Linked DNA regions of Ovis aries. Each later gene encodes a partner of the first gene's protein in a complex. Links are inferred from orthologs where the notes say so. Each region holds a gene or a part of one and is shown in the gene's direction. Other genes may lie near its edges. The genes, in order: DFFB and DFFA.

The links.
Region 2: the proteins of DFFB (region 1) and DFFA are in contact, whole or in part, in an NMR structure (PDB 1F2R), measured with the Mus musculus proteins. The link is inferred for Ovis aries from reciprocal best matches to the Homo sapiens genes DFFB and DFFA. Residues at the interface, in NP_031885.3 of Mus musculus: Cys10, Lys12, Arg14, Ala19, Cys20, Lys21, Phe22, Gly23, Val24, Ala25, Ala26, Arg39; in NP_001020467.1 of Mus musculus: Asp66, Thr68, Ile69, Val70, Asp71, Asp72, Asp74, Tyr75, Trp94, Tyr96, Asp100.

Annotation. Positions count from the first base shown.
Region 1 is NC_056065.1:48,614,714-48,618,522, reverse strand, and holds part of DFFB (DNA fragmentation factor subunit beta), read left to right. Parts: intron 1-2,059; coding exon 2,060-2,248; intron 2,249-3,027; coding exon 3,028-3,107; intron 3,108-3,809. UniProt on the Homo sapiens protein: Nuclease that induces DNA fragmentation and chromatin condensation during apoptosis. Degrades naked DNA and induces apoptotic morphology.
Region 2 is NC_056065.1:42,364,831-42,369,306, forward strand, and holds the start of DFFA (DNA fragmentation factor subunit alpha), read left to right. Parts: upstream 1-1,501; 5' UTR 1,502-1,587; coding exon 1,588-1,723; intron 1,724-3,525; coding exon 3,526-3,684; intron 3,685-4,476. UniProt on the Homo sapiens protein: Inhibitor of the caspase-activated DNase (DFF40).

The DNA of each region.
Region 1 (3,809 bases):
CATCGAAGGAGTAACCATCACTGGCGTCCCAGGAACAGGGGCATTTAAACTTTATTTACTTATTTTGCTGCATTGCACAGCTTGTGGGATCTTAGTTTCCCAACCAGGGATTGAACCACGGTCCTTGGTAGTGAGATCTGAGTCCTAACCATGGGATCTTTAGGGAATTCCCCAATCTTTACTTTTAACATGGACATTCTTTACTTCTGGTCAGTGCACCTTTTCTTTAATAATTAAGGCAGATGCACACCGTATGTATGATCTACCACAGACAGGCTGTCCTAGTCAGCATAAATTCAAGTTAACTTATGTAGACGTCCAAACGACTCCCTGTGTCTTTGTCGGTAAACATTTCCTTAATCTGTTTTCTAAGGGACAGGCAGGTGACTGACTCTACGCTTAGTGTCTGATCTCTGTTGGGTTTGTGGACACCCATCCATCCTCAGGTTCCTGTTGGCACTGCCTTATTGGAGCCAGTGCCCTTGGAGGTGGGTCTTTAGTGGAATCTTTGCTGGGTGACAAGTGCTACTGGAGCCATAAGCCACTGGCCAGGCATGTCCCCTAGGAGGGTCGTCTGGCTCCTGTAGAAAGGGGCTTCCGATTCAGGTGCTATGGGAAGGCAGTGGAGCTCCAAGGACTGAGATTGTCCTGCCCCCTCTGCTGAAAGGATGGGGAGAGAGAGAGGCTGACAGGAATGTGGATGTGGCCTCGGCCCTTGGTTGGGACTCTGCTGGCAGCAGTGAAGGTGACATGTATGGTGTGGCGAGCATCCTTCCTCTGTCGGGCCTTATCCCTCTAGAGAATTAAATCTGAATAACGTTGTTACCAAGAAAAAGAAGCAGCCCCACGCTGCTTTCCAGAGCTGCAGTCCTGGCTTATTTCCACAGCAAGGACAGGAGCAGGCGCCTGTGGCCTCACCAGCTCTTGGCCTTGTCGCTGTTTCTGCTTTAGCCACTCCGGCAAGCATGTGGTGGTGTCTGGATTCTCATGTCCCTCCCAGCTGATGGTGTTGGCCATCTTCTGGGCCGATTTACCATCTGTAAACCTTCTTGCGAAGCATCTTTTGTCCACTGTGTAGTTGGGTATTTTTCCTGCTTGAGTCTCGCGGGTTCGCCTGGTCCATTCTGGACGTGAGTCTTTGTCAGATGTGTGGTTGGCAGATAGTTTCTCTGTAGCTCATCTTTTTTTGTTTTCTTAACCAGGTCTTATACATGGAGTAGAAATTTTTACTTTTGATGAAGTCCTTCTTGTCTCTTTTTATCTTTCTTTGTTCTTATTTTAGTCACTAAGGCATGTCCAGCTCTATATAGCCCACCAGGCTCCTCTGTCCATGGACTTTTCCAGGCAAGAATACTGGAGTGTGTTGCCATTTCCTTCTTCAGAGGATCTTCCCAACCCAGGGATTGAACCTGCATCTGCTGTATTGCAGGTTGATTTTTTATCACTGAGCCATCAGGGAAGCCCCTTTATGTTTCTGTACATATACTTTTGCGGTTCAGTCTGAGACTTCTTCGACAAGCTCTAGGTCTTGAAGATTTTCTCTGTCTTTCTGCACCAGTTGCTATGATGACATGGCTTTTATTGCTTAGCCTGTGGAGAGTGGATCGCACTGATGTTTGAATTCCAAGCAGCCGCAAGTCCCTGAAATGACCCAAGCCACTGTGGGGCCCGTTCCTCGTGTGGGTCTGGATGTCTGCTTATAGGACGAAGCCCTTAGTTTCTCACGCTTACCTGGAGGGGTGGCTGCTTTGGGGTGCGTGTGGAAAGGTGGGGAGTCAGCCAGATAGTGAAGGGATGAGCTGGAGCCTGAGGTCTCGAGTGAGGGCCCAAGACCAGGTGGTTTCACTTGGAGGAGGCGAGGCTGACGGGGAAGGGCAGCAACTCTCTTTGGTGTGTTTCATTTCCCGTGTTCTCCCCATCTGTCCTCCCCACTGCCACCTTAAATGTGGGGGACCAGGAGCACTGGGCTGGTGGCTGTCGGGGCAGGGGAAGGAGGCGATTTCCCAGAGGCCGTGCTCCAAGGCCTGGTGGCCTCTGTGTTTGTCCTCTTCGATGGCAGTCGTGAGTGACATCAGCCGCTTCCTGAGCGTGTTCCAGGAGCCGCACGCAGGTGTCATCCAGGCCGCCCGGCAGCTGCTCTCGGATGAGCGGTCCCCACTGCGGCAGAAGCTGCTGGCCGACCTGCTGGGCACCGTCAGCGAGAACATCGCGGCCGAGACCAGGGCCGAGGACCCGCTGTGGTTTGAAGGTACCTCATGGATTCTGGCCTGGAGGGAGCGGGTGCGGAGGGCTTCCCTGGGACTGACTCTCTGAGACCTGGGGTCTCCGTCATTTCCCAGATCCAGGGGTTTCCCAAGCACAGGGCCAGGGTCCAGGCAGCCCTGGAGTTGGCCATTTTATTATTTTTCAATCGTGATGAAGTAAAATTCACCATCTTCACCATTTTGGGGGGCATGTAGTTCTTTGCTGGTATTGAATATAGTCCCAGTGTTGTGCAGCAGCCCTACCACCTGTTCTCAGAGGTTTTCATCCTCCCAAACTAAGGCTCTGTCCCCAGTGGGCATCACTCCCCACCTCTCCCCTGCCCCTGGTCCCCCATCTTCCTGTCCCTGGAATATGACTCCTCAGGGATCTCGTATGAGTGAGCTCATGCATCTTCCTTCTTCACTCAGCATAACCTCTTCGTGGTTCATCGTGTGGAGACAGGTGTCAGGACTCCCTTCCTCTTTAAGGCTGAATGATATTTCATCTCATGGGTGGACCATATCTTCTTCATCTAGTCACCTGGACCTATCTCACCTTTTGGACTGGTCTTCTGAGCCAGGTGGAGCAGCCCCCTTGGGAAAGCGGCTCCCCGGTGGCATTTGAGGTGCTCTGTGCTTGTGGACCAGAGATGACTTCCTTTGCAGAAGGAGCAGGTTCCCGTCAGAACGTTTCTAGATGGAGCCGAGTCAAGAGCCCTCCTGTCCGCCCCTCCCAGGAGATCACAGCCCCAGGCTCCAGGCGTCTTGTCTCTCCTTCCGGCAGGCTTGGAGTCCCGTTTTAGGAGCAAGTCTGGCTATCTGAGATACAGCTGCGAGAGCCGGATCCGGAGCTATCTGAGAGAAGTAGGTCCTGGTGTGCTGGCCAGGTTTAGGAAGCCGGCTCTGCCTCTGGGACTTGGCTCCCAGGACTGGTGTGGATGTCAGAGGAGTGAGGGCTGGTGCGGGTGTGGGTGCAGGTGAACGTGAGCCAGCACTGAGTTGCTCGCCCTGGGAGGCCCCTGCCGTTGCTCCTATACCTCATGGTCGGATGTCAGCCAGGAGGTGTCATGTTCCATTCTTTGCAGACGATCCGCCACCCCCACACCTTGACCTTGCTCCCGGCTGTGTGTCCTGGACTAGAGTTTATCATTCATGGTGCAGAACTGCCCACATGTGTTCTGTTAAGAGCACAGAGGAAACCTCAGGGCTGGGGTATCTGAGGCCCTGGGGCCTGACCCCGCTCCCCCTCGTCCCTGCTTCCACCCCTGCTGACCATAGCCACCCTCAGGCTCCTTCTGCTGGTGAAGTGCTCTTCCCAGGCTGGCTGGTGGGTGTCTCCGGGGCATCATCCACAGACCCCGCTGGGTGCCAGCCCCATTCTGTGATGACCTGTCTGCTGTCCTGCTGTCATTCCCACTGGGCCAGGCGGTCCCCTTGCTTCTGCCTGGTGCTCAGTGTGGGCCCACGGGTGCGAGTCCTCACCTGCACTCTAGTGGGTGGTGATGTGGAGGTTGCTTCTCACCTGCACTCTTTTTCTCCGGTTTCTTGCCGTGAAGCACCGGGTAG
Region 2 (4,476 bases), about 6.2 Mb from region 1:
CTGTCTGCAGGTCTATTAGAACTCAGAAGGCGAGTGCTTTTGGGAGAGGTAAGGATTCATGGGGTCGCAGAGTTGGAAACGACTGAGCGACTGAACTGAACTGAAGGCTTCTACGAACCTTTATTACTTTATAGTGGTTGAGTTGTTCGACTTTAAGCCAATTGTGACATTACACACACGAAAGAGCTGTATACATTAGAAATATGTCAGTTCATATCACAGTTGTGTTTGATCAGTGATGGCATATTCAAAAGCATTGCCTCAGTTAACAATTCTTCCTACCAAACACTGTTTTAAATGTATTTTTCTTATGAGATAAATCTGATTTCCTTTAATAAAATATGAAAGGGATTGACCCTGAATTAATACAGTCTGATAATTATTCCTTCAGTTCAGTTCAGTCGCTCAATTGTGTCCGATTCTTTGCGACCCCACGGACTGCAGCAGGCCAGGAATAACAGGAATAACAAATTATTTCTTGTTTATATAAAATGCCCCCCTTTTAAGCCAGGAAACTTTTTGTATTATTTTAATCTTAAGTGTTGGTTTTTCAGGGGTGAAAAACACAGACTTTTCCCTAAGTAGCAGTATTAAGACAAATATGTTGTCAAGCAGCATCTGGACAATCTCAACAGTGATGAGATTTCCCCTTTTCTCTCTGATTTGAAATTATAATGTTTAACCTAATATCTAAGCATTTTATTCCGAAGTCCCAACCCAATTTACAGATCTGAAGCAGAGAACTGAATGCGTGGAAATGTGGGAGTATTTTATGCTTCTCTGTTAGCTCTTCAGCAAGATTGAAAACTATACTCGTCAATTTTTAAAACTGATTTCCTTCAGATCAGCGTGAAGCTTGGGACATTTTATAGATCTTTTCAGGTTGGAAAGGAAAAACAGTACAAAGTAAAATGACACTGTTTTAAGTATTAATATCATGCATCTATATATGCAAAAGAGGCTTCCCAGTCGGCTTAGTTCAGTTCATTCGCTCAGTCGTGTCTCTTTGAGACCCCGGTGGCTCAGCGGTAAAGAATCCGTCTGCAATGCAGGAGACCCTAGTTCGATCTCTGGGTGGGGGAAGATCCCCTGGGAAAGGAAATGGCAACTCACTCCAGTATTCTTGCCTGGGAAATCCCATGGACAGAGGAGCCTGGAGGGCCACAGTCGAGGGGTTCCCAAAAGAGTGGCACACGATTTAGCAACTAAACAACATACTGGAGGAAAGAGTTCAAGGAAATATACACGCGTGTCCATCATACTGCAAAATTAACCCCTACTGACCTCATTTTGAACGCGCAAATGCAACTCCTTAATATAAGGTAGGAAAACAAAAACACCTCCTGGACTGAATTGCGCGACCTAAGTCGGCTTTGAACCCACAGACTACAGCTCCCGGCATGCCCCCGTTAGCCTCAGGTGATTAGGAGCACCTAGAACTCCATCTCCCGGCGTGCCTTGGTCTCACGCGTGATTTGCTACGGAGAGAACTACATTTCCCGGCATGTCGTGGGGGATGGAATTTGGGAGGACTCCCGCGCCTCAGTCTCCCTGACTTCTAGTCGGTCTGGTCCCATCCTGAAGAGGATGGAGGTGGCCAGCGGCCCTGCAGCTCCGGAACCCGGCGAGATCCGGGCTCTAAAGCAGTGTTTGCTGCGCCGCAACAAAAGCCGGGAGCAGCACGGCGTGGCGGCCTCTTGCCTCAAGGAGCTGAGGAACAAGGGTAGGCACGGGACCGGGGCGAGGGCTTGGGGAGCTGGAGCCCAGGCTGAAGGGAGCCAAGGGCAGGGTGAGGATGTCCGGCGGGGCTAACCGAGATCAAGAAAGGCGACTTGGGGCTTCTTGTAACTGAAGTGGAGGACCCTTGGGACAGATATGACTCACGTGGGTATAGCGACTTATCAGTTTCACCGCGTTTGTGCCAAGCGTTTTAACTTAATTTACTTTATGTGCGATTCATATGTGGAAAGGCAGACGGGAAGCAATATGCAAATGATTTAAAACAGACTCTACTTCGGTGTCTTGCCTCCGGTGACTCAGATTGTGGATCGAACCCAGCCTGGTGTAGTCCTGCCACTCGGGCTCCCTGAGGTGGTACTGGGGCCCTCAGGTGAGCCTACGGCGAGGTGGGGATGGGTTTCCACCGTCAGCTCTAGCAGGTACCTGTGAGGTAAAGAGGGAGCCGCTACTTACCGTCCCAGAGGTCCAGACAAGGAACAGCTGCTGTGAGTGACCTAGCTTTCAAAAGTTCTGAGCCTCCTACTGTTACTAGTTGCCTGACCTTGCAGGTAACCATCTGTTGATCCCCAATTTTCTCATCAGCAAAGTGGCTATATTTCCAGCCCTGCTTCACTGAATTGTTGGGACTCTCCAAGGAGATAATATATTCAAATGACTTACAAATTATTAGCCTGTAGCAATAAACTGTTTACCGAAAGAAGTTCTTTAGGTTAAACCTGTGAGTCATCCCTAGGCAGGTAGTGAAGGTGTATGTATGCCTGTTCAGAGCTTCCTCCCAGAGTCACTCAGCCGAGCCGGTATCTGATAGAAGTCTTTCAGAGACACAGAAACAGCCAAAGCACTCTAAATGCTTCAGTGAGATGGCTTTTGCCATATAAGTGTTTACATAATTTTTCTTGGCATGAGGGTTCTTAAGTTTTAGTGCCCCTTTAGTGCAGTGGCTGGATGCACTTGGCACAGAGGCCCCTGTAAGTGCTTGTGTTTCTGGAGCTCGGCCTATGCAGGGTTTGCAGGGTGCAAGACGATATTGCCCGATGACATTTGTAGTCTCTCGGCTACTTTTCTGTGTGCTCTAGTCCCATTAGCATTTTAGGCATTGCCATCATTAGGCAAGTACAGACCTGCCCTGGACAAAACCTCTTGACCATTGATCATACAGATGAAAAGTTCCTGTTACAATCTTCTGTCTTCTGCTTCCTTTACACTTTCCTATAGGTTAGTAAGACTGTAAAGATACTGCAAGAACATAAAGTATTTTTTTCTTTTTTAAACTTTTCTTTTTCTCTGGACACATAGGAGAACTTGAGTCATTTAGACCACTGAGAAAATGAACGAAAGACGTTTATTCTCAAAGAATCAAATCAGACTTTTGTTCGTTGTTCATCCAAGGAAAGAGTTGAGTTCCTCCTAATGAGGGTATTGAGTAGCTGGAGAAAAAAACGTTTTCAAGAGCCAGACTGTGTGGGTTTAAATGCCAGTTACTTACTGTGTGACCTTGAGCAAGTTAGTTAACCTCTCTAAGCGTTGGGTTTGACATCTGTAAAAATGGGAGTAACAATAGTATCTACCACAGGATTGTTATGAGATTAAGTAGTCTATATGAAAAGCACTTAGTATAGTACCAGGCACATGGTAAATGTTATATTAGTATTAGTGGTCATCATTATAGTTATTATTAGCTACTAGAGATTTTTCTAGGCTCTGGGGGCATACATACTGAGTACAAAGACAGATATAGTTTCCCTATGGATATTTGTCAATTGCCAAATATTTTATTCCTCTCAGCTTGTGACATTCTGGCCATTGATAAGTCCCTGGCACCAATAACCCTGGTCCTGGCAGAGGATGGCACCATAGTGGATGATGATGATTACTTCCTGTGTCTTCCTGCCAATACTAAGTTTGTGGTATTGGCTGGGAATGAGAAGTGGACACACAATTCAGGTAAGAAATACTGGGCGTATATATAGTATACCCTCCATCGTGATTTGCTTTACTACACGTGGCACCTGATTGCTGTTTGGCTGGCTGTTTCAGCATATACGCAGCAAGCATTACTGAGTGCCTTCTGTATGCCAGATTGACGCTGAGTCGGGGGATGAAGATGAATGAGATGGGGTCAGGTCTCAAGTGACTCATGGACCCACAGCAACTATAACACAGCAGGGCAGAGAGATCTGGGCCACAGGTTAGGGTCAGACTACCTGGTCCGAATCCCAGCTCTGCCATTTACTAGTCATGTGACCCTGAGCAAATTATCTAACTTCTCAACCCCTTATTGAGATAGTAGTTATCGTACCTGTCTCCGTGGGTTGTAAGGATGTGAGAACGTAGTACGTATCAAGCAAGCCAGGGCTTCTCAACAATGCTGGTGACATGTTGGGCCAGGAAATTCTTTGTTGGGGGGTTGCTGTCCTGTGCATTGTAGGATACTTAGCAGCATTGCTGGCCTTTACCCACTAGGTACCAGTAGCATCTCCTCACCTTAACTGTGACAACCCAAAATGCCTCTAGATATTGTCACATGTCTACAGGTGTGTGGTGAGCAGAATCACTCCCAGGAAAGAGCCACTGATAGAAAGCATTTAGATCTTATCTGGCATACAGTCAGATAAATCAATACTCCCTGTCACTATCATTACCATCATCCTCACCGGCCATACAGAAGGAACTAATATTGATGAGCAAGGATCAAAGAGCTAAAGAAGTGTTTTGAGGAGAGTCCCCAGGCCACCA